Linked DNA regions of Struthio camelus. The protein of the gene in region 4 interacts with the protein of the main gene of each other region in a pairwise test. Links are inferred from orthologs where the notes say so. Each region holds a gene or a part of one and is shown on either strand. Other genes may lie near its edges.

Region 1 (7,445 bases), about 1.0 Mb from region 4:
TCATGCTGATTGATACAGATATAAGATGAAATGCCTGGTGGCAGCCACCTTCCGTAACAGCTGCCAGTTCAGAGCATCACAAAACAATTCCCTCTAACCTCCCTGCTTCATTGTGTTTTCAATCAGGATCTACAAAAGCAGGCACAGAAGCATATGCAGATATGAATGCACAATCACAAGCTGTCGCCCTGTGCGTGGCACAGATCACCACGTGAAACAGCTGCAATATTGCAAAAAGCCACCCTGAGGACGGAGAGGGAGCAGCAAAAGGAAGCCCGGGGGAACGCGTGGCCGGGGCAGCACCGCTGACCGCACACCTTGGCCCGCTTCCGCCCAGCGCCTGTCTAGCCGCTTCCCCGCATCCACGGCCACGTTGGCTGGCGGGTGGCTGTGTACGTTGCAAAATGCAGATACGGTATCGCGGGGACACATCTCCACAGAAGGATCCCAGTCCTCGGAAGCCCCACGCCAGCGACGCACAACAGCTATTTTAAGTTCTCGTTGGGGAGGTTTCCGGCAGTTTTATTTTTCTCTCTCCCTTTATCGTGCGCAAATCAAAACAGACAAAAACCTCACCCTGCTGCAAAACACAGCACCACTCGGTCCCCACATCACACAACGCTGCCAGATGCAGCCTCCCCCCCACTCCGCCAGGCATCTCCCAGACACAGCAGTACGTGTACCACTCACCCTTGCTGCACCGGCTGGAGCTGTAAGATCACTTGGGTTTTGGTATCCTCCGGGTTCTCCCCTTCGTTTCCCTCACTTGGTACGACCACCACATCACCCACAGGGACGCTCACTTCGGCATTCGCCATCTCTCACATGAAGGCCGGTCGCTGGGTACCACGGTGCTGCAGCGGACAAGCAGAGGCAGAGCTGTGCCGCGGGAAGAACCAGACCACCGCTGCCTATGCGCCGGCGGGGAACAGGGACGCTTTGTAAGCATCGTCCCCGAGAGCCCCGCCGCGGCAAACGCAGCGGCTCCGGACTCGCAGGCACTGCGGGCTTCACGGAGCAGCTCTCAGACTTGCGAGACGGAACCAGGCATTATTGTAAATTCACCACGAAAGAGAGACAGCAGGTATCTGTCAATACCCCCGTTCTCTCCAGAGAGGATTTCTCCTCGCCTGTCGATCACGATAGCTGGGAACATCTGATCCGATGATACAAACATGACACACACACTTGCCCACAATGCCATCCCTCTAATAACTTTAACGGCCGATAACACAGCGTCTTTTGGGGGGCTCTGCAGCTTACCAGCCCAGCCCTGCAGACTCGGTGCCGGCCAAGCAAAGCCACACGCTAGGTTTTGGCAAGAGCCACAACAGCGCAGGGAGGCAGGTTTCTAAGCGAGAGCTTCTGCCCCTAGGCGGGAACCCTTCCAGGCGGCAGCGTGATGCTGTCATCTTTCAGCACCGCCAAGGGGCCGGGGACAGAGCCCTTCTGCTGCGCACAAGCTGCAGAGAAGTGTGTATTCCTCGTGCCAGAGGTGGAGCGAGACGCAGCGACGCAGAAGGTCCTTGCAGTGTTTTCCCGCAGGGATATTTGCTGCGCTGTGGGGGACCGCTTCCTACCGCTACGCAGGAAAGCGCCAAGGTGATTTTGTGAGCGGGGGAATGAAGAGTGTGGGAAGAGGAGAAACACATCACTCCACAATAATTCAGTGCTACGTTCCAAGCGCCGTTCCAGATTACCCTCTTGGGTTTCGAACCCCTCCCCAGTTTGTTCCTCATCTGCCTCTACGCGATGCCCAATGCTCTGCGCCTCCAAGCCTGCGTGCTGGGAGACGCCTTTTGCTCAGAGCCTCCTGACATCTGCACCGGCCTCCGCACGCGCCTCCGCACTGTTAATTGTCCCTCTCCGCAGGGCCGACGGGGCCGCGGCGGCTGCGTTCGAGGCTGGGCGCAGGCAGGGTTTCTCAGCGGCCGAGCTCCCGCCGCGGCCTCAACTGGAGCGCGGCTCCGGCCGAGCTGAAGCGCGAGGCACGGCTCGTTGCGGCGGAGGCGTGGAAAGGCCCGGCGGAGGCCAGCGCGCGCTCGGGCCCCCGGGACGCTCCCGTCTGGCACCAGGAAGGCGTTCTGGCAAAAGCAAGGGGGGCCGGGGGCCGGCTCCCGGGACCGCCCCTGCCCCGCCGGCTGCAGGAGACGACAGGAGCCGCTTGCCCGGCGCCCTCGCTCCGGGCTGGGGCGCGCCGCCGGGCGGCCCCGCGGCGAGGCAGGGCTGCGGGCTTCACAGCGGCCGCAGCGCAGCTCCCCGCGAGCCGCCGGCCGGCGGGAGGGACCCTGGGCCGCGGCCCCCGGCCACGGCCGCTCCAGTCACAGCAGAAGGCGGCGCTCGCTCGGCGTTTCGGCGCGGGGGGGGCCGCGCCGGGGCCGGGGGGGGGCTGCAGGCGCCGGTCTCCTCTGCCCGGGGCCCCCCACGCCAGGTCCCCCAATCGGGGGTCGCCGGCCCCCCGGCCAGGCCGCCGCTGCCGGCCCCTCGGCGGGGAGGAAGGCGATGGGGTCAGAGGTCAGCGCGGCGGGGGCAAAGGGCGCCGCGCCCCCCCGCGGGCAGCCCCCGAGGTCAAGGGTCACGGCGGGGGGGAAGGAGCGGGCCCCCCCCCGGCGCGCGGCCCCCCCCCCCGGCCGGCGCCGAAGGGCGGGGCTGCCCGGGGGAGGGGCGGGGCCTCCCCTCCCCTCCCCCCCCGCCGCGGGCGGACGCAGCGGCTCGGCCCCCCCCCCGCGGCGCGCGACGTCCGCCCTCGCGGCGGCGGCACGTACGGCGGCGCGCGCTGGGGCGCCCCCTCCCCTCGCGGGCCGGGCCGGGCCCCCCTGCCCGCCCCGCCCCGCCCCGCCCGCGCGCCGCCGCGCCGCCTGGCCCCTCCCGGCTCCCGTAGCGCGGCGCCGGCCGGCCCTTACCGTCGCCGAGCGGCCGAGTCCGGGGGCTGAGAGAAGGGGGAGGGGGAGGGCGAAGCGGGCCGGGCAGCACTGAGCATGCGCAGTCGCCGCGCTGGCCTCGGCCGCCAGCACTTCCGGCCGCCGCCTGCCTTAAAGGCGCCGCCGCGGCCTAGGCCTGGGCGCGGCGCCCTGCTGCCCCCTGCGGGCGGCCGGTGGCATCGCCGCCCCGGGGAGGGGGCTGCGGGGGGTACCGGGCCTCGGGGTGGGCTGGTGGTAGCAGCTTCCTTCCTTCTTTACTTCCTTCCCTCCACCCACCCACCCACTCCCACCCCGGGGTGCTGCCCCAGCTCCTGCCGGCGCCGGTGGCTCTGCGGCCCGGCTGCGGCCCGCCCGCGCTGCCGTCGCCCAGCGCCCCGCTCTCGACGCATCATCGCGGCACACGACAACTCAACGGCATCGGTTTATTGCCCTTAGCGCAAGGGGGGTGCTGGGCAGGCGACTTGGGCGAGCGGCAGGTGCCCGCGAGGACGGCTCTGTCCCCTTCTTTCCGCCTGAGGACGGGGAGGCCTGGCGCCCCCAGGCGAGCCCGCGGCTTCGGGCTGCCCCGGCCTCCTCCCCGGCAGCCCCGTGGGCTCTCGGCCTCGGCTCGCAGCGGCGTGAAGGCCGCAGAGGAGCCCGATAGTTCCTCGCTTCCAGGAAAGCTGCTCTCTGCTGGCAGCTGCCCAGACTGCCTCCGTCCCCAGGTACGGGCAGGGCCTCCAGCAGCAGCAGTGGAGAGGGAAAGGGGAGAGAGGACACAAATGGGGTCGTCATCTGGTCCCCAGCGTGGCACAGAGCGTTCCCAGCCAGGCTTGGTGACCTGGGAGTCTAACGGGGTCCAGGGGAGTCGAGATGTCACGTTAGTCTTGGTGTGCAGGCACCAGCGGGCGGGCAGGGATGATGGTCGCCGGGATGGCGGTTGTGTCTGCATGGGCAGAAGCATCAGAGTCTGATTGCTGCTTCTTTCTCTGCAGAACTTGCCTGGCGATCTCGACTCCTGCTCGATCTCGAGCTCTGCCCTGCTCACCTTGCTCCAGTTTTGAGGAGAAAGAGAACACAAGAGAGAGAGCACCATGAAGACCAAAGCAGCAGCAGCAGCAGCAGCAGCAGCAGCAGCAGGGGTCTTCCTGGGTGCACGTGAGGGCTGGGGAAGACCTGCCCCAAAGCACACGTTAGCAGCTTTCGCTGGGACTCCAGTTCTTGCTGGCGACCATTGTAGGGCCAGCTCTGCGCATGTGAGTGCTTGGCTTGGTGCCTAAAAGAGGCCTCTTGACAGCCCAGGGACACAACTTCTTCATGCCACAGTCCCCTACTGCCGACCAGAGGGCTCACAGCTGAGGTTATGCTGGACCAGAGGTGTGGGAGAAGGTGGCACCCGCAGGCCGGTAGAGTGCGAGGGGTCGCCCTGCTCGCAGGGCTTCGCTTCGCTCTGTTCCCCCCTGCGGGCCAGCTCCCAACTTATGTCCCTGCCCGGGACTCCCCCGAAGAATACCTCTTGGTTGCGTGTGTGGCACGTCGTGAGGGTGATGCCCTTCCTTAGGCTGTTACTGCTGGCAGCCTGGCAAGAACCCTCATCCAGGCTGCAGGCTGCAGGAGCTGCCGTGTGCTCTGTAAGCTGCGAGGAGGGAGAGGAGGCAAGGGAAAGAGCTCAGAGGGCACAAGGACGAGCTCTCTGCCCACGGAGCCAACTGCCTGCGCTGCTGCCCAGCGCTCTGCGTTGCGATCAGCTGGGGATCTGCCCTGGGCACTCACTGCCAGGACAAGCCAGCCCTCCCTCCCAGCAGAGCTGCAGCACAAAGGCCCCGGCTGTGCCCCCGGCTCTCCTCCATGGCAGCGGAGCACCAGTGGTGAGCTCCATCGCCAGAGGGGCGTGGGCTAAGTAAGGCCGTGCCGGGGCAGCAAGAGGGGCGGCGGGTGCTTGAGGGCGCCGGCAGAGCGCTCCGGGCACGTGTCCTGGGGAGAGAGGCAGGCCTGGCTGGGCTGGGGCAGCGCATCTGGACGCAGGCTAAGGGCAGCCCCGAGCAGGCTCCGTGCGCGGCTGCCGTCCAGAGCAGCTCTGCTCTCACCGTCTGCTCATCTCCATCCTCCAGCAGCGCAGGCCAGAGCTGGGGGTGCTGCAGGCACTCAGCTGCTCGTCTTCGGCTGCCTCTTCCTTCTCCTTGTGCTCCGTGTCCTCGCAGCACGGCAGGCAGAAGAGCTCAGCCTTTTCCTTTTGCTAGCAAAGAAGACGAGTGAGGATCCACGGGGAAGAGCAAGGATGAAGAGGAGGGGAAGAGCTCTGAGCTTTGGCCTGCAGAGCACCTCCGCTGGGACCGGGTTGGTGAAGGCTCTTTGCTTTGCTGCCGGCGCGCTGCTCCCGTGCCCCAGGAGAACAGCGGGGAGATGCATCTGCCAGGCCATTGGCGTGTCGGTGAGCCTCGGGGCTGGCTCGGGGAGCAGCAGGCCAGCGAACGTGGAGACTCCGTGTTACTTACCAGCTGCCTTTCAGCCTGCTGCCACTGCTGCTCCATCTTCTCTAGCAGCTGCTGGTTAACGAGGAGAGTTTCCCCAAGGGCCTGAAGCAGGGAGAGAGGCAGAGCCAAGGCTGAGCGTGGCTGGAGCAGCAGGCTGCCAGGGAGCAGGGAGATGGCCAGCATTTCCTTCCGGCTGACCGGAGCCACTCTGCACCCAGTGGTGTGGGTGAGGACTGTGCCTGCACGTGCACGTGCACGTGCACGTGCACGAGCATCCCTGTGTGGGAAGGGGGCAAGAGTCTGTCCTGGGCAGCTCTCCTACCTGAAGGCATTGCTTTTGCTGCTCCACATCGGGGTGATGGCCTTCCCCTTCAGCTACATCATCTTCGAGAGATGGCGCAGGAGTCTCCGGGGTTGGCACCGAGGGCTGAGAAAGGAGAAAACACACGTGGCTGAGAGCGAACACGACCAGGCAGGGAGCAGGCAGGTGCTTCCTTCAAGGTGAGAGAAGAGCGAGTGGCTCGGCTTGCCTGGCCGCTACCGGCAAAGCCCAGGCCTGGCTGGGACCGGGTAGTGGCAGGCTGCAAGGAGAGTGCTGGGAGGCAGGCAGGAGGTGTGCAGAAGGTGGCAGCGCCCAGGCCCTGTCAGGCAGCTGGCGCGGGAGCCCAGGAAGCAGGGCGCTGGGGGTTGTGGGGAGAGCTTTGGGGCTGCCCGTCTCCGCCAGCTTACCTCTTCGTGAGTGCTAGTCTTCTTGAAGGCACTGGCTAATGATTGCAGCCCTTTGGCAAGCTCCATTTCTGGCAGACACAAGCAGAAGGTGAAAACAGGCCTCCACGCCCTCAAGGACTTCCCTGCTGAGTGGGTTCCCTCTGACAGACCCCTCCAGGACAGGAGGAGGGGCGCAGACTTTGACCCCTGCTCGTGCCAGCCCCGCTTTCCTCCCTGAGAGCCCCCTGTTGCCTGGCCCGGTCCCGCTGGGCCCAAGACCTCACCCTCCACCCTCGGCTGCCTACCCCGAGAGATGGCTTGGTCCATGTAGGCGGCCAGGTCCTTCACGTATTTGGAGATGTATCTCACGGCCGCATCTATAACCTCATCGCTGCTTGGCTCCGTGGGCTGCTCTTCTGCTGCAGGAGGTTCTGGGACATGGGGACAAGCCGGAAGACGGGAGAAGAGGAGAGAGCGACTGAGCGGTGATGCTGGCAAGCCCAGCCGTTGCCTACCCTACGCTCTCCGAGTGCTGCAGAGGTTCCCGAAGGGCTGGAGCAGGCAGGAAAACACCAGCAGCAGGGCAGCACGGCCTTGCTGAGGCTCCACAGGGCTTCCCGTTCCTGACCCGTGTGCCCATGGGCTGCCTCGACGGCAGCCTCCAGAGACCTCCTTACAGGTCTGCCCCAGCTGCCCCCAGCTCTCCGGGGATCTCCAGGAGGAGATGCCCTTTGCTGCCAGCTGCTCGGCTCAGCCCAGCACCCCTCCGTGCCCCCGTCCTGTCGGCCTTGCTCCCGGTGCACCCAGGCAACTCGGGGCTTACCCGTCTCACCATCTTCTTCGCCAGAAGGCACCCCAGGTGCCTGAGCAGGGGGGACCTCTGCGTCGAGGCTCTCCTGGACCTTTGGGGACACGGGTGGAAAAGAGAACGGCTCAGAGAGGCAGGAGATCAGCTGCGGAGGGGAAGGGACCTTGAGGGAGGCTGGTGGGTCTGGGAGGGGGAGGGAGGAGGCAACGCAGGGCTGCTGGAGCCATCTTGCTGGTGCTCGCAGCCTGCTGGACGCAGCCCCTGCTCCAACAGGAGGTTTGGAGGACCTCCTTGGAAGGCAGCCTTTGCACAAGCGCTCCTCCCAGGTGCTTCTCAGCGGCTCTCGCCTTTTGGGATTGAGCTCGGCCAGGCTGGGACGTGAGTGGGGATCCTGTGCTTTGGGATGGGTGGCTCTGCCCCAGACGCAGGTGTCCCCGCAGGGGCCAGCGAGGGGCTGTGCGCCGGGGGCTGCCCTCACTCACCGGGTGCTGGTCACTGGTGAGGCTGGAGGCGGCGGTGCCGCTCTCCTCTCGCTCCTCCACAAGGCCCGCAGCA
Region 2 (6,912 bases), on a different chromosome or scaffold from region 4:
CTGTTCAAAATTGCTGCAAGTATGTGCCATGCTGTCAAAGGGAGAAGATGAGGCTGTCACGGCTGATTAAAGCTCACCCTATATGCATGTACTCTGTAGAAGGAAAAGGGTCCCATGTTACATCCCTCCTGCTGTATTAGCCCCACTGAGAAAATTTGACTTTTCCCACTAGTGAGTGCTGGAATCAAAGGAATGCTCTCACACAGAGGAAAACCAAATGAAGGACAAAGGTGATGAGAGAAAAGATCAGCACAGAGCATAACTAGACGCAGCAATATTGATATCTATAAATTATCGTATTATCTTTCCATTCACACTGGTATGCATCCAGATTAATGCCACAGGAGACAGTGGGTTTAGAAAGTGTAATCCAGACTAGAATTTGACTTGAGTGTGTATGCAACACTTTTGAAAAGAAAATTATGACATATGATGTCGTTAGAGGCTGAGCTTTTGCAATGGTGGCCCTGCCTCCTGGTGTGTTCACTGCATACCTTTCTCTGGGAGCTCAGCTGGATAGGGTGTGAGATTTTAAAGGCTGAAATTCAGGTTGAAATCCAAACAGTTCTCATATATGCAGTTTACATATCTTACCTTCGTGTGTCAGCTTCCCAATGAGTTTAGTGGACTTTTTTCTTTTAACAGGAGCAGGAGTCCCTGCTAGGGGCATTCCCACAAAGGGTTCTCTGCTTTGCTCTAAACACACAGAAGGAAATGGAGAATGAAACACTGGAAAGGTCTCTTGCCCCTCTTTTAGTTTCCCTCTACAGTTAAGAGACACAGGATCTTCATTTCACATGCAGATTCTTTTCCATCTCTCTCACATAAAGGAGCTAGTAAACAGTATCATCTCAGACAGAATATCAGCATTAGGCCGTTGTGGGGCTCTGTGGAGACTTCGTGTTAAGGCACAAAATATGGTAACAGATTACAGAAGAAGCATTGCTTCACTACCACATAGCGTTGCCACCCAGAATAGACAGTATAATTGCAGCACTGCAGCCTCCCGGCACCTGTGTATGCCATGATGGTACTATGTTGTCATGTTGTGCTGCAGTGCAGAATGTCAGTTTGAAAAATTCCTCGGTCATGACTTAACATCATTGTAATGCCATTTGGATATCGTTAGGTAGTAATACATATTCTTACATAAAGATGTTGGGTCTGCCCACGAGCTATGTGGGAACATTTTGAATAATGTCCATACTTGGTTTGGATATTTGGATAGTTCTGTTAGAACTGGAATTGCTTCTCAGAAACCTATCAGACTGCAAGTTATGCAAAAAACAAAACCCTATGTCATTCTCTTTTATGACTGTTGATGATATATTACAAAGGGCTGGAGGAAGAAGGCACAGGCCTGTTAGAGTTGTTGGTGCAAGTTGTTTGAAGTCACTTACACCTGCATTTTATGTATTCATCCTATTGCATGTCATTTTGGAGGGAGAAGGAGAGGAAGAGGGAGATTTCTTCTCTTACACTGTTTCCCATCTCTATCCCCAGGTAGGATGAGAGACCTGTACTGCTAAGTTGGGAAAAGTTAGGAGAAATCCCAGCAATTTTACTTCGGGCAGGTTCTCGTAGTCCTTCTTGGGGGTTATCACACATAATGCAAGTCGGGCTGATGTCTTCATTTTTGCACTGTCCTTGCCAAATGACAGTATGTAAGGAGACAGATCCTCACCTAATAAATGACCAAACTTCCATTGGGTTCAGCAATAGCAGAGAGTAACTAACCATCTCTGTCGCTGTGCCTCTTTACACCTTTAGTTGCTCAGAGCTTCAAAACAGATGTTATTAGCTGTGAGTTATTTTTTAAAACTAGCAGGCAAACTGGCTCTAGGACTGTGTACGCTGCCCTTGTTGTGATCAAGACGTTTTTATTTTCCAAATATTCTACAGTTTTCTTCCACCATTGCTCCTTTTAGAACATGATTTTGAGAGATGGTGACAGCTGCTGAAAGCAGCCTGGCCAGATGAAACCAGACCCAATTACATTGGCAGATATTCTCTTGGATAAGACTTTCTTTCTGATTTCCAAGTTTGATTTTTTATTGAGATGCTGCCTATGTGGTTCACATCATAAAAGAGCTCATCCTGGTGTATTCCCAAAGCAAGTGTGAGCAGGTGCAGCCATAAAGCACACGCCATGCATTCTCCTCGAGCAGCCGGACATCTGCTTGGCTATATAAAAGAAGCAGGCCCTGCTTGACAGGAAAAGGGCAATGCTGCCAGGAGACATGGGGGGAAGGAGTTTCAGGGAGTTTATGGCTCATTTGATGGGTCATAAGAGTGGCAGATGGAGGGAAAACGTCTGCGCCCCCAGACATGGACTCCCTGGGGCAGGCAGGGCGGGCTGGCCCAGTTAGGGAGCTGTGCCCCTCCAGCACGCTCATTCCCAAGGAGCAGCGAGGGCGGGTTTGTCCCGCTCTGCTGTCCTTTGCTGCTCCAGCAGGATCAGGGAGCACACGTAATCAGTCTAGCATAAGGAGTGGGGCAGCAGCCTTTCACTATGGATGGGGCTCAGAGCCACGGTTGGACCGCTGTTCGATCTGTCACCCCACAGCAGCGAGGCTGCTGGAGCCTCAGTCCCCTTGCTCCCCACTCTCTCGTGCATAGGACCAGGACCACAATTCCCCTTTTCTCCCATCAGCTCTATCCCTTGGTGTAATTCCTCTGTCTTTTTCTGCTTCAGTCTTTGCAGCAGTCATTTCGTTGGCTTTGCTGCAAACCAAACCAATCTTTACCCTCTTCAGCCCCTGCTCCAAACTGTTTTGCTGCCAGGTCAGCTTACCTTAGGCTTGTAGTGCCAGGCTCAGACCAGCTCACGCGCCTGCCCCAGGGCTCGGCAGCAGGCTGGCAGTGTGTGGGCAGCGTCCTCCCAGCCCACCTTTGGGCGCTGCGGGGAGGCTTGTCCAGCAGCCCCGCTCACCCAGGGTGCCGGGGTGCAGGCAGGCTCTGCCCGGCGCAAAGTGCTGATGTGGAGTGCTGTGAATTTGACTCCTGAAGGCTGCTCGCACAGGCATCCTGCAGTTATTAATAGCTGACAGCCCAGAGAGCAGGGTCTCAGATAGCACCACCACCAGCCCGGAGGAAAGGGGAGAGGAAAAGGTTGCACCTCAGGCCTCCTGCAGTCACCGCCTCCGTTCCCAGGAAGACTGGGCACCCTTTTCTGCATAAGTGCATTGCTCCTTCCCTTCTGTTCCAATCAACTTGCCGTTCCTCTCCCTCCTCCTATTGCACTTCAGTAATACCTCCTCAATCTCCTATTTCTCAGTAATGCCTCAAGAACTCTCTCAGGTCTTGCTCTTTTCTACACCCTCCCTCCGCCTCCTCCTCACTCCATCATTCAACCCAACTTCCTCCAAGCTCTCATATTAATTCCTAAAATGCCAGGGATTCAAAAAATACGTCAGAGAGCACAGAATAAAAATAATCACACCCATGAAACAAGAACTAGTAGGAAAAACACATTTACAGAGTTATAGGAAGTAGCTGTGTAATGTGGGTAAGAAACCCAACAGAATCAAGCAGCAAGGAGACTCATTTCCTGATTCATGGCAGAAATAGGGTTGATTGACTGCATTTAGTGTAGCTTTGTGCGTGTAAATGATTCCTCTACTTTAGCCACTGCTCATTCTGAAGCGACGCTACCTGTTTTTCTCCCCGTACCAAACTGGGTTCTGCTTCTAGGAGGAAGGAAAGTTAACTCATTTTACTGAAATACTCTAAGATGCACAAACTTTTAAGCTTCTACATACAGCAGGAATCCTACAGAGAATCATGTCCTTTCCTATTTCACATCAGAGCCCAACCAAGCTGTCTACTGAGTAAACATAGAGTCTAGTGGGAAAAAAAACAAAGCTGTGATTGTAGCAGAGAATCATCTGCACAGAGGCTTGCAAGTACACTTGATATAAAGGATCATCGGGAAACAGTCACTTTCCCTTTCTCGTATACTTTGCACAGTTGTGTTTGCCTGCACCAGCAGAGTATAAAACTTCCCAGTCTGACTGGTGCGTTGCAATCACAAGGCATTAACCCCCCCAGTGCTGTTTGGATAGTCCTTTATAAGAGTGCTATAACCTGTAGCTGTGGATAGGAGGTGGAGAGCTATGGATAATAATCATCTTTTATCCCTGTGACTTGGAGCTAGGGAATGTATGGCAATCTCCTGGCCTCAAGTTTCCTGTTTCCTTCTTGCTTCCATCCACATGGTCACTGCATATACATTACATTGTGCCTATGGCATAGCCCTTATTCTCCCCTCTTCCTACCACTGTAGCAATTTGCTGGAAGCTGGTAATCTGGGAGTAGCCCCATGGAGCTGTGCCAGTGTAAAACAGGTGTGGGGGATGGCACAACTGAACTGTAAATACCTACTCTCCGCGGTGGGCACCATCACAGAGCCTCACGCCTGGTGAGGGCATTTACATCTGCACAAAACTGGTGGGTGTCAAATACCATCGCAGCTGATCATCTGTCCGCACTTCACACGCACTCTGCGCAAGTGCAGGTGGTCACAGAAGAATAAGCTCTCAGTGTTGGCCAAATCCTCCTCACTGCAGGCCAAGGAATATTTTTTCACCACATTTATTTCTCTTGGGGTGATTGAGGACCATGCTGGGTATTTGCTCAAGGTGACCAGTGCCTGCTTTGGAAATCCAGTGGTGCTCTTTGGGATGCTGTTCATACCCCGTGATGCTCTCCTAATGAGGTACTCCCCTTGTATGCCAAGTCAAGGTCTTGAGTGAGAGGCGGACAGGGTGGTGAGGAACTGGAAGCAAGAGCCAGGCTGAGCAGGGAGAGGAAAGAAGAAACTGGGAGTAGAGACCACAGGGCAAAGTCTTTATCCAGAGCTCAGGAACAGGAGATTGAGGCGGAAAAGATCGAGCGAGGAGACTTTTATTGCTTAGATGCTGATGGATAGCATTTAGGTCCCTAGGCCAGTCATTGGATTCCTCAGAAACTGCAGTAGCAAAATACAAGGTCTAGGCCAGTCCGTTGTCCTGGCTTTTCAGTGTTGTTGTTGTGCCTGTGGCTGTTGTCAGGCTCTGATCCCTGGAGAAACTGTGGCCAGCTCCAATTTGAAAGGTGATATGTAGCTCTCATTCTGTGCTATGTGAAATCCCATTCTGTCCTTGCAACCCTGATCCTCGAGGTTATTTCTATCTGCATGTGCATATATCCATACACAGGGTGAGCTGCATTGATGGTCTGGATGAAGGGACAGAGTGCACCCTCAGCAAGTTTGCTGATGATACTAAACTGGGAGGAGTGGCTGATACACCCAAGGGCTGTGCTGCCATGCAGAGAGACCTGGGCAGGCTGGAGAGTTGGGCGGAGAGGAACCTCATGAAGTTCAACAAAGGCAAGTGCAGAGTCTTGCACCTAGGGAGGAATAACCCTGTGCACCAGGACAGGCTGGGGGCTGACCTGCTGGAAAGCAGCTCTGCAGAGAAGGACCTGGGTGTCCTGGTGAGACTTTCACCTCCTTCTCTATCTTCAAACAAAATGATGTCTCCATTTTCAGTTGCCTGTTTAAGAACTAAATCCTGCTCCTTTCTCCTCTCTATGGGCGGTTTCTCCTGAGAGATAGAAAAGTGCAGTTCAATAATCTAGAAATGTCGCTTGTGTGTCTAGCAGAGAAAGACTGATTTCATTTATAAATATCCTGCCACAATGCCAGGCTTAGCAGCTCAATGGCTTTTACCACTGGGAATATTGTTCCCATTTGATGTCTCTGCCTTCTGTAGTAGGATGAAATCAGCATGGAAAAGAGGTAATGGAGGGCTCTTACTATTATCGCACCCACTCATGCTACTCAGGGTTTGAAATCATTACAAGCCTGGCTTGTTGAGCTGCCCTTTCTTTTTTTTTTTTTTTTCCTTCCTGGACTCTAGTGAGATTTTAAGGGCTAAATTCAATCCATGCTTGAGTACATGGAGTTCCCACTTAGGTCAGCAAGGATAGTACATGTGCTGCCTGCAGGACATTTCAGCACTTCAGGGAGGAGGTTTAATCATACAAGGAACTCTATCTCACTGTGCCAACCTTCCTCTTTCCAAATATACCCTTCACTTAAATGGCCTTAGGAACAGCCTGCACAAAGCTTTGCTTTCTCTGACCTGTGTTTTCACAATTTTTTTCCTGACTCTCAGGGCACCTAATTTCAATTCAAAATATACAATTTCAAATAATTGATGTTTCCAAAATCATTTTAAGAGCAGCAGATGAGATCTGTCTTGTCACACAGTGCTGGGTGGACATAAATAGTAGCTAAGACAGGGAGTCCTCAGTATGGGTGTTTCCTGAGCACTCTTTGATCACGTGAAAATCAGGCAAACAGAGTCAGTCTGGCAAATAATTTCATTTTCCAAAGGTACAGAGTTAAACCTTGACCCTGTTCCCTGTTTTCCCTGGAGCCCAGGACTAGCACAAGCTGAAAGTATTCACAGGCTGCAGATCTCCACACCAATTGGATCTGTTCTGAAAAAAAGTTGCAAAACTCCTGCTTTGGCTTTTTTCCCCCTCAGGAAGAGAGTGGGGAGGGGGAGAAAAAAGGAGGGGAAGATGCTAGAAGGGCTTTATTATTTTGAAATAGTTCATATATGTTTTAATTTCTTCCACCTTTACGAAGACATGAAGAAGATTTGTCAGTAATTTGTTGTAGCGACACAAGGGGAGAAGTAGACAGTTAACACCAGGCTCTCCCCTGCTGCTAAGGGCGCTTAATGCACAGTGAGATGTAGGGCTTGGGCAGAAACGTGTAGGATTTGATCACAGAGCTGGGGGGGGGCAGATGTTGAAACAGCTGGTGTGCCTCAGGCATGTTCCTCACTGGACGGCCTCTTTGCCTGCATGCCCCACACTCCACCACCCAGGAATCCCCTCCAAGCTGCTGCAAACCTC
Region 3 (7,145 bases), on a different chromosome or scaffold from region 4:
GACTTTGGGGGGGTCCTGAGGTTTTGGGGAGTCTCAGGGGGTTTGGGGGGGTCCCAGGGGCTCTGGGGGGGGTCCTGGGGTTTCGGGGGGGTCCCAGGGGCTCTGGGGGGTCTGGGGATTTTGGGGGGGTCCTGGGGTTTCAGGGGGTCCCAGGGGGTCTGGGGGGTCCCAGGGACTTTGGGGGGGTCCTGGGGTTTCGGGGGGTCCCGGGGGGTCTGGGGGGGGTCGGGGGGGTCCCATCCAACTGACCTTCCTCCTCCTCTTCCTCGGGCTGCTCCTCCTCGGGCTGCTCCTCCTCTGGGGGGCGCGGGGGGGGGGGTCAGAGTTAGGGACCCCCCCGACCCCCCCGGCCGTTAATGTTAATTAACACCCCAGATCTCATTAGTGACCCCCCCCGATACCCTCATTAACCATTAACAAACCGCAGCCAAGGCCCCGCTTCGTTAGCAGAGAGGTTGATTAACACCCGTGGTTAATGAGCCACTTGGGGGGGGGTTAATTAAGGCAGAGTTAGTTAAGAGGAGTTTATTAAGGGGGTTTAATTATGGGGGGGGTAATGGGGTCCCCAGGCTCAGCCCCCCCCCCCAGTTCGTTAGGGGGCGGCCGACGAGCCGGGGCCTTCGTTAGCTAACGAGCTGCGGGGGGGGGGTCACTCACCTTCGGGCTGCTCCCTGGGGGGGGAAGGAGAGGGGTGAGGGGGGGCACCAGTATGGGGGGATGAAACCAGTATGGGGGGACCCAGACCAGTAAGGGGGGGGCACCAGTATGGTGGGGGGCCCAGACCAGTATGGGGGGAGGAAACCAGTATGGGGGGGCAGACCAGTATGTGGGGCACCAGTATGGTGGGGGGCCCAGACCAGTATGGGGGGGGCACCAGTATGGTGGGGGGCCCAGACCAGTATGGGGGGGGGCCCAGACCAGTATGGGGGGGGGGACACCAGTGGAGGGGGCCCAGACCAGTATGGGGAGGTCCTGATCCCAGTACGGCGGCACTGGGGACCCTGATCCCAGTATGGGGGGAGCCCAGATCAATACAGGGACGGGCAGACCAGTATGGGGGGGGGGGCTAGACCAGTCTAGGGGACACTGGGGGGGGCCTGGTCCCAGTAAGGGAAGCTCCATCCCAGTACGAGGGTCCCAGTTCCAGTATGGGGGGGGGCCCATCCCAGTACAGGGGCAATGGGGAGTACTGGGGGGACTCTGGCCCCAGTTTGGGACTGGGGCGGGGGCCCAGGCGTCCGGGGGGCCCAGGCGTCCGGGGTCACTCACTCCTCGTACTCCTCCTCGGCCTCAGACATGGCTGCGGTTGGCGGCGCCTGGGCGGATTTTGGGGGGGGTCAGGAGAGCGGGGGGGCGACCCCCGTCCCCTATAGCCCCCATCTCCCCTATAGCCCTCATCTCCCCCTATAGCCCCCCATTAGCCCCTATAGCCCCGTCTGCCCTGTAGCTCTCCATGTTCCCCTATAGCTGCATCTTCCCCCATAGCTCCCATCACCCCCTATAGCCCCCATTAGCCCCTATAGCCCCCAATTAGCCCCATAGCCCCCATCACCCCCTATAGCCCCCATTAGCCCCTATAGCCCTTCATCACCCCCTATAACGCTCATTACTGCCCATACCCTCGTCTCCCTTATAGCTGCATCTCCCCTATAGCCCGTCATCCTCTATAACCCCCCGTTACACCCCCTATAGCCCCCATCTCCCCTATAGCCCCCCGAGACCCCCCATAGCCCCCAGCGCCCCCCCGGCACCGGTGTCTCCCTCGTCCGGTCGCTCTCGGGGCTCTGCCGGCGTCGCCGCCCCCCCACCCCGGGGTCCCTTTATGGGGGCTCGTCCCGCCCCCGCGTGACGCCCCCCCCCCGGGCCCCCCGGGACCCCCTGGCCCAACAACGGCCCGAGCTCATTGTTCCCAAAATGCCTCCGAAATGTCACCGACACCCGACACCCCGCAGCTGTCGGGGCTAAACATAGCTGGGGGGCCCGGACGCCTGGGCCCCAGGGGACAGCGGGGCCCCCGGACGCCTGGGCCCCAGGGGACAGCGGGGCCCCCGGACGCCTGGGTCCCCCCTAGGGCAGCAGGGCGGAGCGGAGGCAGCCCGGACGCCTGGGCCCCGGGGGGCGGCGGGGCCCCCGGACGCCTGGGTCCCCCCGGGGCAGCAGGGCAGAGCGGAGGCAGCCCGGACGCCTGGGCCCCAGGGGACAGCGGGGCCCCCGGACGCCTGGGTCCCCCCGGGGCAGCAGAGCCCGCGGGGCGGAGCGGAGGCAGCCCGGACGCCTGGGCCCCAGGGGACAGCGGGGCCCCCGGACGCCTGGGTCCCCCCGGGGCAGCAGGGCGGAGCGGAGGCAGCCCGGACGCCTGGGCCCCGGGGGACAGCGGGGCCCCCGGACGCCTGGGTCCCCCCGGGGCAGCAGGGCGGAGCGGAGGCAGCCCGGACGCCTGGGCCCCGGGGGACAGCGGGGCCCCCGGACGCCTGGGTCCCCCCGGGGCAGCAGGGCGGAGCGGAGGCAGCCCGGACGCCTGGGCCCCGGGGGACAGCGGGGCCCCCGGACGCCTGGGTCCCCCCAGGGCAGCAGAGCCCGCGGGGCGGAGCGGAGGCAGCCCGGACGCCTGGGCCCCAGGGGACAGCGGGGCCCCCGGACGCCTGGGTCCCCCCGGGGCAGCAGGGCGGAGCGGAGGCAGCCCGGACGCCTGGGCCCCAGGGGACAGCGGGGCCCCCGGACGCCTGGGTCCCCCCGGGGCAGCAGGGCGGAGCGGAGGCAGCCCGGACGCCTGGGCCCCGGGGGACAGCGGGGCCCCCGGACGCCTGGGTCCCCCCGGGGCAGCAGGGTGGAGCGGAGGCAGCCCGGACGCCTGGGCCCCAGGGGACAGCGGGGCCCCCGGACGCCTGGGCCCGCTCCCCATCTTTGGAAGGCCACAGGGGGAGAACAAAGGCCGGGGGGGGGCCCGGATGCCTGGGTCCTATTCCTGTCCTTTGATGTCACCTCTGTCCCCGCCACCTGTCGGGGACATTCCTGCCCTTTGTTCCAGGATGGCTGCGGGGGCGGGGGGGGGCCCGGACGCCTGGGTCCCCCCGCACCCGCCTGCGGGGCCCAGGCAGAAGCTGGTCTCCAGACTCCGTTTTCTTGCTCTTTTGCCCCAAAACACCGCACTGAAGCGGACCCAGGTGTCCGGTGGTGCGGGGGGGGGGGGCAGCAACCCCGTCTGCCCCCCCGGACGAGGACGCAGCTGCCCCGACCGCAGACCAGAAGCGGCTCGTTCCTATTTTTGTCTTTATTTCAATTTAAAAAAGTGATTTTGCTCCAAAACCTCATGCCCCCCCCCAGCCCCCAGTGTAGCACCAACCCCCCCCCAGCTCTGCCCCACCGGGGGGGGGAAGAGGGAGGAATCACCCCCCCCGCCCCAAGGAGGGTCCCGACCCTCCCTCCCGGGGGGGCCCAGGAGTCCGGCGCTGTCGGGGGCCCCCCCATGAGGTAGGTGTGTGACGCGCCCCCCCCACCCCGCTCCGTACAAACCCCCCCCCCCGAAAGGTAGAAAACAACAGCAGAAAGGGGTGCCCCCCCCCGGGGGGGGCTCAGGCGGAGTCGTGGGCGGCCACGTCCAGGGCGATGGCGCCGTGGCTGACGACCAGGCGGAAGCGGCGGGCGGCCCCGAAGGCCGCCGGGCGCTTGGGGGGCGGCGGGGGGGGGAGCGGGGCCGGCGCGGCGCCCCCCCCGGCCCCCCCCCGGCCCCCCAGCGGGCCCAGGCGCACGTGGGCGAAGAGGGCGAGCTTGGGGTCGGCGGGGGGGCGGGGGGCGGCGGGGGGGGGCAGCCGGGCCAGGCGCACGCGGGGCTCCCGGCGCAGGCGGCAGCGGCCCCGGCAGCCGGCGCAGTCGTGCAGGGCGACGCGGGGCTGCGGCGGCGCGGGGGGGCCGGGGGGGGCCGGGCCGCGCGGGCGGCGGCGGCGGCGGCGGCAGCAGCAGCGCCGGGCCGGACCCCCTCCCCGGCCCCCCCGCGCCCGCTGCAGGCGCCCGTCCGTCTCCCGCAGCTGGTACTTGGGGGGCGGCGGCGGCGGCGGCTGCTGCGCCGGCTCCTTCCTCCGCAGCCGGAACGCGCCCTCGCCCTTCCTGCGGGAGAGAGGCGCCTCAGAGCGGGGCCCAGGCGGCCGGGGGGCCCAGGCGTCCGGGGGGCCCTACTGCACCCCGCACTGAACCCGGGGACCCAGGCGTCCGGGGGGCCCAGGCGTCCGGGGGGCCCTACTGCTCCCCGCACTGAACCCGGGGACCCAGGCGTTCGGGGGTCCCAGGTGTCCGGGGGGCCCAGGCGTCCGGGGGGCCCTACTGCACCCCGCACTGAACCCGGGGACCCAGGCGTTCGGGGGTCCCAGGTGTCCGGGGGGCCCAGGCGGCCGGGGGGCCCTACTGCTCCCCGCACTGAACCCGGGGGCCCAGGCGGCCGGGGGGCCCAGGCGTCCGGGGGACCCTACTGCACCCCGCACTGAACCCGGGGACCCAGGCGTTCGGGGGGCCCAGGCGTCCGGGGGGCCCTACTGCACCCCGCACTGAACCCGGGGACCCAGGCGTTCGGGGGACCCAGGTGTCCGGGGGGCCCAGGCGGCCGGGGGACCCTACTGCTCCCCGCACTGAACCTGGGGACCCAGGCGTTCGGGGGGCCCAGGCGTCCGGGGGGCCCTACTGCACCCCGCACTGAACCCGGGGACCCAGGCGGCCGGGGGACCCAGGCAGCCGGGGGGCCCAGGCAGCCGGGGCACCCTACTGCTCCCTGCACTGAACCTGGGGACCCAGGTGTTCGGGGGGGGCCCAGGAGTCCTGGGGACCCTACTGCACCCCACCCTGAACCCGAAGACCCAGGTGTCCCGGGGACCCAGGCGTCCGGGGGGGGCCCAGGCGTCCGGGGGGGGCCCTACTGCACCCCGCACTGAACCCGGGGACCCAGGCGGCCGGGGGACCCAGGCGGCCGGGGGGCCCTACTGCTCCCCGCACTGAACCTGGGGACCCAGGCGTTCAGGGGGGGGCCCAGGCGTCCGGGGGGGCCCTACTGCACCCCGCACTGAACCCGGGAACCCAGGCGTCCGGGGGGGCCCAGGCGTCCGGGGGGGCCCTACTGCACCCCGCACTGAACCCGGGAACCCAGGCATCCGGGGGGGCCCAGGCGTCCGGGGGGCCCTACTGCACCCCACGCTGAACCCCCCCGAGGTGCCCCTGGGGACCCTGGCAGCTGGGGACCCACAGCACCCTGGACAGCGCCTGGGGGGGAGGGGGGAACCACAGCAGGCCCCGCCCCTCGGGCCCCGCCCCAGCAGGCCCCGCCCCTCGGGCCCCGCCCCAGCAGGCCCCGCCCACCTCTCGCAGGTGCGGCACTCGCAGAGCTCGTTGTTCTCCCCGAAGAAGCTCTCGCCGTAGAAGCAGGTGATCTCGTCCTGCGGCTCGATGTCCCGCAGCACCTTCACGCAGGCCGCGTTCCCCTCCGTGGGCACGAACTGGGCGCACGTCAGCCGCGGGGGGCCCCGGCGTCCGGGCACCCCCCGGCCCTCCCCCCCGCCGCCGCCGCCCCGAGGGGCCCCGGCGTCCGGGCGCCCTTACCTTGCAGTTGGGCCGGCAGTCTGCGGAGAGCGGAGAAGTCGCCGTCAGCAGCGGCTCGCGGCGCCCGCCGGCCCCGGAGCCCCAGGCACGGGGGGGGGTCGGGGCGTCCCGGGGGGGGTCCCGGGGGTGGTCGGGGGCCCCGGGGGGTGGTCAGGGATCCAGTTGGGGGTCCCGAGGACAAGCAGGGGTCTGGTTAGGGGTCCGGGAGGGTCAGGAGAGGGTTGGGGGCCCCCAGGTTTGGCCATCGGACCGGTTGGGGTCCCAGGAGCGATCAGGGCTCTGGTCGGGGTCCTGGGGAGGAGTCGGGGGGCAGCCAGGGGCCCCAGGCAGCAACGGGGGGCTCCTGGGGGGCCATTGGGGGTGTCCCAGGTGGCTGTTGGGGGCCTAGGGGGTGGTTAGGGGTCTCGCTGGGGGCCCTGGGTGGTCTGCTGGGGGGTCGTCAGGGGCTCTGGGGACAGTTGGGGGGCTGTTGGGGGGTCCTGGGGGTAATGGGGGGGTCTGCTGGGGGCCCTGAGGGGCTGTTGGGGAGCCTGGTGAAAGCTGGGGGGGGCTGCTGGGGGTCCTAGGGGATGGCTGGGGGTCACGCAAGGGACCCTGGAGGGGCCATTGGGGGTCCCAGGGGCAGCTGGGGGGCTGTTGGGAAGTGGCCGGGGGTCCTGGGGGGGGCCCTGGGGGGCTGTTAGGGGTCCCACCGGGGGGCCCTGGGGGGGGCTGTTGGGGTCCCAGGGGGCCTGAGAACAGCTGGGAGGCTGCTGGGGGTCCCTGGGAGGCTGCTGGGGGTGGCCAGGGGTCCTGTCAGGGGCCTTGGGGGGGCTGTTGGGGGGTCCCAGGGGGCCCTGGGGACAGCTGTGGGTGGCCGGGGGTCCCGGGGGGCTGTTGGGGGTCCCAGGGGGCCCTGGGGACAGCTGGGAGGCTGCTGGGGGTCCCAGGGGGGCTGTTGGGGGTTCCGGGGACAGCTGGGGGGTGGCCGGGGGTCCCGGGGGGGCTGTTGGGGGTCCCGGGAACAGCTGGGGGGTGGCTGGGGGTCTGGGGGGGCCCTGGGGGGTGGCCGGGGGTCCCAGGGGGGGCTGTTGGGGGTCCCAGGGGCAGCTGGGAGGTGGCCGGGGGTCCCAGGGGGGCCCTGGGGGGCTGTTGGGGGTCCCAGGGGCAGCTGGGAGGTGGCCGGGGGTCCTGGGGGGGCTGTTGGGGGTCCCGGGGGCAGCTGGGGGGTGGCCGGGGGTCCCAGGGGGGCCCTGGGGGGGGCTGTTGGGGGTCCCAGGAGCAGCTGGGGGGTGGCCGGGGGTCCCGGGGGGGCTGTTGGGGGTCCCGGGGGCAGCTGGGGGGTGGCCGGGGGTCCGGGGGGGGCCCTGGGAGGTGGCCGGGGGTCCCGGGGGGGGCCCTGGGGGGTGGCCGGGGGTCCCGGGGGTCCCAGGGGTGGCCCTGGGGGGTGGCCGGGGGTCCCGGGGGGGCTGTTGGGGGTCCCGGGGACAGCTGGGGGGTGGCCGGGGGTCCGGGGGGGGCCCTGGGGGGTGGCTGGGGGTCCCGGGGGGGGCTGTTGGGGGTCCCGGGGGGGCCCTGGGGGGTGG
Region 4 (7,889 bases):
AGTGCGGCGGTCAGCGCCTCGGGTGCCCTGGGTCGGGGGCACCGGGGCCACGGGCCAGGGATGCTGCGCAACAGCCTAATTTTAGACCCGTGGTGGTGTAATGTAGTATTATCGCAGACCCGAGACGAACGCTCGCCCTCTGCTCCTTGCGGCGAACGCGTGACTTGGCCAGGGGAGCCCCAGGCGCCGCGGGGGCAGCTGAAACACGGCCCCCCCTCCTCCCCGGCGGCTTTTAGCCAATTTGCCCCTTCCGCGAGCAGCGTGACGGTGGCTGGAGACCCGGCCAGGCGAACTGAAGCCACCTGCTCGTGCCCCTTTAGGACAGCCGACCCCACCGAACCGAAACCCGGGGGATTTCACCCCAAAGCCAGGGGTGCAACGAGCTCGCCGAGCCACGGCCGCCCGGGGGGGCCCGCGGGGCGCTCCGCTGCCCGGGCGCCTTCCCTGCTGCGCAAACTCCGATGCCGGAGATGTTTGTCGTCTGACATCTGTCACCGTCCCCATGGCTGGCGAATAATATTTACAGTGATTCAGTGGATTTGGGAGCGGGTTCCCGTCGGCTCCCGTTTTGGGAGCAGCCGTTGCGCCGGGGCTTGCTCTCACCCTCTTCTTTCTCCTTTATAAATAGATTTAGCCCCTTCCTGCCTCGATAAGCCGTGACCTCTCGCTGTCCTTCCCCTTCCCCCTCCGAGCCGCCGGCACATTTGCACCCCAGCTGGGTCCCTTCCCCTGAGCAACATGAGCCTTTGCTTTTTCCAGCCCCTGAGCAAGATCCTCCCCCTGAAACCGTCCCTCCGTCCCTTATCAGCCGGCAATTCCCAGCTCTCGCAAGCGGAGCCGGTATTTGTCCCGCGCGCCCCTTATCTCCGCCTGAAACCTCTATCTGCAAAACGCCAGGCGTTAAGGACAGGACGGGTCCCGCTGTCGTTCGCCGCCGAAGGACCCGCTGCCCTCCGCGGCGGCACGAAAGCCCTGGGAGATCAGCCCTCCCCGAGGGACAGCGCTCGCGACTTTACTGCTCTTGGTGTCGGAACGAAAACGTTCCAGCTGCGCTATCGGGAGGAAGAGACCGGGGATGGCAAGCGGCAAGCAAGCGGAAAGGACCCACGGTTTCCAGCAAAGGTGCAATCTCCTAAAGGACAAACGGCTCTCGGGCTCACCTGCAGCACTCCTGCTTGTAGATGTCGATGATGTTCTCCACCAGCAGGTTCCTCTGCAGCCCGTAGACGCCGTGGCGGTCCAGGAGCACCTCGTGGCGGCAGGACGGGCACCGGAAACGGCCCCCCGAGATGACGCTGCCCCGACTCTGCCAGTACGGGTTGGCGGCCTGCAAGGAGAGCCGTGTCAGGGTCCCCCGGCCGGGGACACCGGGGGGTCCCGTGGCACCTGTGAGCATCCTCGCGGCGTCCTCCCCCGGCCCGCTGAGCCGTCCCTACGCTCGGCGCCCCGGTGGGGACCTCTCATGGCCTGGCCACCTCCACCACCAACCTCTTCGTGCCCGAAACCAGCCTCCCGCGCTGCCCGCGACGGAAAGCTCCGCTGTGCAGGGGACAAACCATGAGCCCGAGGGCTTCTCGGGGTCAGCCGAGTGCTGGCTGAGGACCGGCCCCGGCCGCCGGCGGCTTTGGGGACGCCTTGCCACGGCGCTCACCTGGAAGACGTCGTTGGCGCACTTGCGGCAGAGGTTGTGCTGGCAGGGCAGGATCACCACGGGCTTGGTGAACATCTCCAGGCAGATGGGGCAGATGAGCTGCTTCTCCAGGTTCTCCATGGGGCTGCCGTCCCGGATGATGCCGGGCTGGTAATCCATGGGGCCGGCCAAGGGCGGCCAGAAGCGTCGCTGCTCCTCTGCCGGCGCCGACGGGGCGACGGGCGGCGCTGAGCTCCCGCAGCTCGGCTGCAGCCACCCGCCTTTGCCTGCCGCTCCGGCCGCGCGGCTATTTATAATTCGCGCTGCGGTCACGCGGAGGGACAATATTGGCAGCGGGTCGAGTTTCCCACCCATCACATGGGAGTGAGCAATCGCCGGGCCGAGCGGGAGGCCGGGCTGTAAACAGGGCTCGGGACGGCCTGTCCGCACCCGCGCTGCCGGGGGGCTTAGCGTCTCCCGGGACAAAGAAACCGGAGCCGGGGCCGTCAGCGCAGTCACGCTTCGCCCAGGTGCAAGCGGCCCAAGGGCCGACGAGGCCGGACACGCCGCCGGCACGGCCCCCGGGGCGCCGGGCTGCTTCGGCCTCGCGCTCCTCATCCCGCCCGGCGCCACGTGGGCACCTCGCTTTGGGGCTTCGCGGGTGCCCGAGCCCGTCCGGCCCGTCCCCGGCAGCGTCGTGCCCCCGGCCGAGCCCCGTTCCCGCGGCCGCCGACCTGCTTCGTCCAGTTTATTCAAGCAGAAAAATCGCTCTCGTCCCCCCCCCCCGCCCCAAATTCGGGCAGCGCTGAGCTCTGGCCGACCGGATGCGACCGCGGGGCTGCGGGGCGGGAGGGCGATGACTCGGGGCTGGGAAAGCCCCCGGCCGCATAGCAGCGACTCATCCGGGCACCAAAAAAGCCCCCACGACCCAGGCCCGGCACGTGGGAGGCTGAAGCATCCCGAACGCGCCCGGGGCGCCCGGCCACCACGAGAACAGGCTGCGGCGTGCGGGTTTCCCCCGGGCGACGGGCATCAGCCAGCGGCTGGGGCTTTTCACACCCGCTCTCTGCCGGGACGGGACCCAGGAGCGATAAGAAAAGCCGCTCCGGCGGGTCCCCATCCCGGCACCGAGCGACGCTGCTCGTTCCAGTCGTGCCTGGCCGAGACGGGGACAAAAGCAGCCGGTGCCGGGGCGCACCTTCGCCCTCGTCCCGCGGCCCCGGCTAACCCCGCGCCTCCCTTGCGAAACCCGAGCCAGGAAAGGCTCCGAGGCGAGCAGCGGGGCGGCGGGCCGAGGCCGGGCCCCTTCCGCGAGAGCTGCTGCAGGCGACGGGGGTTAAGAAAAAAATAAAATCAAGCCGCCGGCTCACGTGGGCCGGGGTGGCATCTGCGAGCCGCGGCGATAAACAGGTTGTGATGCCCAGCTCCCGCGGCGGTCCGCAGGGAGACCTGTAAATGTTGGCAGCCGAGAGGGGACAGCGGGTTAATTATAGCGCGGTGGGCGCGGGTGGCGCTGGCACCCGGCCTCGCACGGCGGCCGCTGGCCGGACCCAGCCGCGTTTGGGGCCGGTGGCAGCGAGGGGGGTGGCGTGCCATTAATTAACTAATTGCTTCTGGACTCGGTTAAGGGGATTCGCGGCACCGGCTGGGTTGGTTGTACCCTAATCGGCTTCAAACCCGCCGCTGGCCTGCAAGGGGCTCGTCGGCTCCTAATTGGCTTGGGGGGGATCAGGGAAGATGGCGACGGGCTAATCACCGCCAGGCTGATTAGTAATTAATATGGGGGTGAAAGCGGGGGACGGTGCACGGCTGGCGGGAAGAGCTGCCTCCACGGCACCGCGGGTTTGGGGCCGGCGCGGAGCCCCGCTCCAAGGGGAACCTCTGCCCCTCGGCCGGCCCCGGCCCTTTTCCCAAACGGATCCGCGACGGCCACGCGCCCTCTGGTGCCGCGGGAACGTGGCTCCCTGCAGGCCAGGGTGGCCAGAGCCCACGTCCTCGATTTGGAGCTGGGGTGAAGCAAATCTGCCGCTCCAGCGTGAGTTTGCAGCCCCTCGAACTTGCAACCCCCTCCCCTTTTTAAGTTGCAACCTCCCCGCCCCGAGGCTGCTCCCCCGGCCAGGCCGACGCTGCGAGGGGCCGGAGGTGCGAGGCCGCAGCAGACCGTGCAGCGCGTTTGCACCCAGTCTGATGGTGCAGGAAAGGAGGATGTTGCCCGTGTCGCCGGAGGGACTCGTGCGCAGCGAGGGGCCGAGGCTGCAGGGTGCTGCGGGCCTGCCGCCATGCGAAGGGTCACGCCGCGGCCTCCCGTTCTCCGTGCAGCGCCGGCACTGCTGCTGTACGGAAAAGCACCACCAGGCCTGGCGCTCCGGAGGAACGGAGGAGAGGAAGGGACCTGGCACGACGCCAGAGCGCACCAAAAGGCGCGAGGCTCCCTGGCGAGGGAAGGCTCCATATTTTTCTCTTAAGCGAAAAAAAAAAAAAAAAGCCGATAAAACAGAATAAAATAAATAAGAGCAGCGCTGACAGCCGCCGAGCGGCGGGGCGAACGGAGGAGCGCACGGGAAAAAAAAGCAGCCGCGCGGGAAGGAGCGCACGTGGCAGGCGGCGCGCGCGTTCCCGCCCCGCCGCGAGGGGGCGCGCGCGCGCGCTGCCGCCGCCGGCCAATCAGGAGGTGGGGCGGTGGGGGGGGCGGAACGCGGCGGTGGGGGGGCGGGGCGACGTCTGGGGGGCGTGGCGACGTCGGGGGGCGGGGCGACGGCGGCCGGAGGGGGGAGGGGGTGTGTCGGCGGCGGCGCGGCGGGGGGAGCCCTATAATGGCGGCCGGGCGGCGGGAGCGCGGCGGCTGCGGCGGCGGTGCTGAGGTAACGCGGTGCCCGGGGCGGAGGGAGCGCGGCGCTGGCGGCTCCGGGGCGTCACAGTGAGGGACTGAAGCTCCGAGCTTGGGCCCGGCTCCGCCTCCGGCGCTGCCCTGAGCGGGGGCCCCGGCACCTGCTGCGCGGCCCGGCCGGGCCCTCGGGGTGAGCGCGGCCGCGGGGAGCCCGCGGGGCCTGGCGGGGGGGGAGCGGTGTGGAAAACGGGCGAAACCGCCTTAATTCCTTCCCCGGAGTGACCTCCCCTGGGCGCTGGTGGGGTCCCTGCGTGGCTGCTGCTTGTGGGGCCTCCCTGGTGGTGCTGGGTGGAGGGGAAAGGTGACTTGTTTTATTCTGTAATTGTTATTTTTGACAAGGCAGCCGGGGAGCAGAGACGCTTCATCTGTGTGGTGCCTGCCTGGGCCCGGCAGCGGGGCCAGGCCTGGTGCTTGCTGCCCCTGTCCTGCTGCTGGCCTGATGGGTTGGCGTGAGCAGGCATTGCTTCCCCTTGCCTTGCCCTGTGACCCCCCCCCCCCCCCAGTGACATTCCCGGCCTGGGCCAGGCTGCTGTGGGAGTGTGGCCCTCCTGGTGAGGGTGGGTGGCTGCCCTGGCAGTGTGATGGAGCCCCCCTGGTGACAGCGTGCACCTACCTGGCCAGAGACGGGGCCTGTCTCCCGCTCATGCTGGACCTGGTGCGGTAGTGTCCGAGTAGCACCGTCATTTCCTTAGATTTGGCCGTCCTTGAGGTTATGGATCCTGCTTTCCTCCCCTGCTTGGGAGGTGTTACTGGCCCATTGGGTCTTCCCCTTCAGACCATCATCTGTTCCTCCTAGCCTTGTTACAGGCGCAGGTGCGATGCCTCCTGCGACCTGCATCTCGCACAGTGAATTCCTTGCTCACGCCAGTTGCAGTTCAGGTGTTACAGTAAATGTTCACTGCAAAACTCTCCTGAAAGGGTCTAAACATCTGCATCGATGGTGTCCTGAGGCTGGTAATACCTGTGTCTGTCTTCCTACTGGGAAAACTAGAAGGCTCCCTCTGACAAGGGGCTGTTTCGATGTGGTCCTTAGTGCCTGGTTACTGACAGAAGGAGAGTTACACCTATCACTAGCAATCTTTAAAAAAAAAAAAAAATTTTAGTTCTCATCTACTAATTGTGATCTTTCTTTCTTTCTTACATTTAGTTCTGTCTGACCGGTGATGTTTGGCTAGCCAAACCTTTTTTTTTCCCTGTCTGTAGTCAGTGTCTCATTCTGGTTTGTTTATATGAAGGTGATGTTGTGTTTTGGTTTGTAAACTTGCAGAGAAGTGTGTAGAGAGGCTCATAAGTTTGTGGCACTGTTTTTTTGTTTGTTTGTCTCTCTTGTTTTGTTTATAGAACAATATATTAGTTTTTGTTGAAATCCTTGCCCTGTTCAGCAAAACTGAAGTTGAGATACTGAGTAAAAGCTTCTGTAATCAGTTGCCCTCTTTAACTCTTTGGAACCTTAAACTGATTATTCAGAGGCGCCTGGGTAAAAAAAGCATAGTAACAATTGGAGGAAAAAAAAAAAGTAGGTGTTCTGAAGCATCCTCTTCTTCTAGTATCCAGAAAAGATTTTTGTAGTTAAATTATAATAGAAAATGTTTACCTATCCTGTCACCTCCTTAAAAGGAAGTTTCAAATTAAATCTGCTATTGCCTAACCATAACTTTCAACTAAACCTCTTCTCTGATATCCCAGGCATGGGTTGAGCATGATACTGTGCTATTACATGCACAGATAGAGCAAAAGATACTGAGAGAAAACAGCAAGAGAATATGTGATAATCCCATCTCAAGTACAAGTCTAGGTCTGAATTGCTGCATTCTTGAAAACTGGCCTGATTTGCAATCTTAGTAGTCTGACTGAAATGATAGAACTTCTCTTAACTGCTCCTTAGCAACAGGTATGGGTTTACAAAGTAGGTTCTAGGATATTCTAGCACTCGAATGTGGTGTTATGAGATGTTACGTTCAGGGGCAGTGCCCTAATAATTGAAGGCCTACTGTCGCTACACCAAGTCACATAGGGAAAACGCAAATTAGTAGTTGTTCACAAGTTTTAGTTCTATGGGTTTTTTCCCCTTCCCCCTTCCCCAGAACCTTTGATCTTGAAGATGGTGAGTAGCCAGCCTAAGTACGATCTAATACGGGAGGTTGGCCGTGGCAGTTATGGTGTGGTGTACGAAGCAGTCGTCAGGAAGACCTCCGCACGGGTTGCGGTGAAAAAGATTCGCTGCCATGCTCCAGAGAACGTGGAACTAGCTCTGCGTGAGTTCTGGGCGCTTAGCAGTATCAAGAGCCAACATCCCAACGTCATTCATCTGGAGGAGTGCATCTTGCAGAAAGATGGTATGGTGCAGAAGATGTCCCATGGCTCCAGTTCCTCCCTTTATTTACAGGTACATGAAGCTGAGGTAATGGGGTGGGAGTAACAACATATACCTGTAGCTGGGAGGGAAGGAGGTGGGTAGCTAAGAATTTTTTTTTTTTAAAGATATGCTTAGTTAAGAGAGACTATATGCACTGCTGACATCCAAAAATTATTTTAGATCTTTAGAAGAACATACTTATCAAACTATCACCTGTATCTTCTATTTGGAAGCTGTGCCACTCCAGATTTTTTTTAATGCAAATCTGCTTTGATAATTTGGGGAAAGGGCACAGATAACGCACAACGGAGATACAGGCTGTTGTGAACAGGTATTTATGGACGTCTTGAGACGATGCTCTGAAAGATTCCTTAATCTGAGGTGTCCTTGGAAGAAGAAGTAACTGTCTCGATTCAGGAAACCAGCACTTAAAACTTGTTCAGAAGTAATAATAAGGAATTGCTAGAGTACAGTGAGCTGTTTTGATTTCTTTTCTGAGTAAATAATCTCCTCAAAGAGGAGTAAAGGTCTAGTATATGATAAATAACGGAACAGAGGAATAAATATCACTTTCCCCAATGTGGCTATTGAAGGTGTCTTCTTAAGTTGCCTTCAAGTTAGAAGACATACTATAGATCAATAAACAAGTAGCTTTGAAGAACCCTGAAAGATCATCCAGTTCCTTCCCTTGTCAAGAAGCTGGCTCAACTCTAAAACATTCCCTCACAGAAGCTTGCCTATCTGGTTTTAAAAGTCAATAGCTTACTAAATGTTTATTGTATTATCTCTAGTCAGTTTTTATCATTTTAGCTTTTGTTGTTGTTGTTCTTGCATGTCTAACATAGGACTTTTTTCTTTTCTTTTTTTAATCGAATGTTCATGTGATAACACTGCATGGTTATCTAGATCCCACTGTACTGGAAGCTGTACAAGCCTGAGAGAGCATTCTTGCCTTTGTAAACTGTCTGTAACTCAGTAGTTGTTGCTGACCTGCTTTCATGCAGGGATTAGAGTAA

What was found.
Region 1: the proteins of TRIM63 (region 4) and GMEB1 interact in a two-hybrid assay, tested with the Homo sapiens proteins (2 studies listed by BioGRID and IntAct). The link is inferred for Struthio camelus from reciprocal best matches to the Homo sapiens genes TRIM63 and GMEB1.
Region 2: the proteins of TRIM63 (region 4) and MYOZ1 interact in a two-hybrid assay, tested with the Homo sapiens proteins (2 studies listed by BioGRID and IntAct). The link is inferred for Struthio camelus from reciprocal best matches to the Homo sapiens genes TRIM63 and MYOZ1.
Region 3: the proteins of TRIM63 (region 4) and TNNT1 interact in a two-hybrid assay, tested with the Homo sapiens proteins (2 studies listed by BioGRID and IntAct). The link is inferred for Struthio camelus from reciprocal best matches to the Homo sapiens genes TRIM63 and TNNT1.

The regions. Positions count from the first base shown.
Region 1 is NC_090964.1:6,168,087-6,175,531, reverse strand, and holds the start of GMEB1 (glucocorticoid modulatory element-binding protein 1), read right to left. Parts: upstream 3,015-7,445; 5' UTR 2,904-3,014; intron 2,120-2,903; exon of another isoform or gene 1,264-2,119; intron 880-1,263; 5' UTR 819-879; coding exon 691-818; intron 1-690. Other genes in the region: uncharacterized protein, read right to left, coding at 5,120-5,476, 5,697-5,801, 6,104-6,409. UniProt on the Homo sapiens protein: Trans-acting factor that binds to glucocorticoid modulatory elements (GME) present in the TAT (tyrosine aminotransferase) promoter and increases sensitivity to low concentrations of glucocorticoids. Also binds to the transferrin receptor promoter.
Region 2 is NC_090948.1:24,694,163-24,701,074, forward strand, and holds the start of MYOZ1 (myozenin-1), read right to left. Parts: upstream 3,013-6,912; 5' UTR 2,795-3,012; intron 697-2,794; 5' UTR 671-696; coding exon 595-670; intron 1-594. UniProt on the Homo sapiens protein: Myozenins may serve as intracellular binding proteins involved in linking Z-disk proteins such as alpha-actinin, gamma-filamin, TCAP/telethonin, LDB3/ZASP and localizing calcineurin signaling to the sarcomere.
Region 3 is NW_027182594.1:268,158-275,302, forward strand, and holds the start of TNNT1 (troponin T, slow skeletal muscle), read right to left. Parts: upstream 3,011-7,145; coding exon 2,983-3,010; intron 1,879-2,982; coding exon 1,752-1,878; intron 1,317-1,751; coding exon 1,270-1,316; intron 298-1,269; coding exon 250-297; intron 1-249. Other genes in the region: histone-lysine N-methyltransferase KMT5C, read right to left, coding at 3,573-4,104, 5,341-5,477, 5,581-5,600. UniProt on the Homo sapiens protein: Troponin T is the tropomyosin-binding subunit of troponin, the thin filament regulatory complex which confers calcium-sensitivity to striated muscle actomyosin ATPase activity.
Region 4 is NC_090964.1:7,165,886-7,173,774, reverse strand, and holds the start of TRIM63 (E3 ubiquitin-protein ligase TRIM63), read right to left. Parts: upstream 3,018-7,889; 5' UTR 2,249-3,017; coding exon 1,652-2,248; intron 1,328-1,651; coding exon 1,161-1,327; intron 1-1,160. Other genes in the region: serine/threonine-protein kinase PDIK1L, read left to right, coding at 6,619-6,903. UniProt on the Homo sapiens protein: E3 ubiquitin ligase. Mediates the ubiquitination and subsequent proteasomal degradation of CKM, GMEB1 and HIBADH.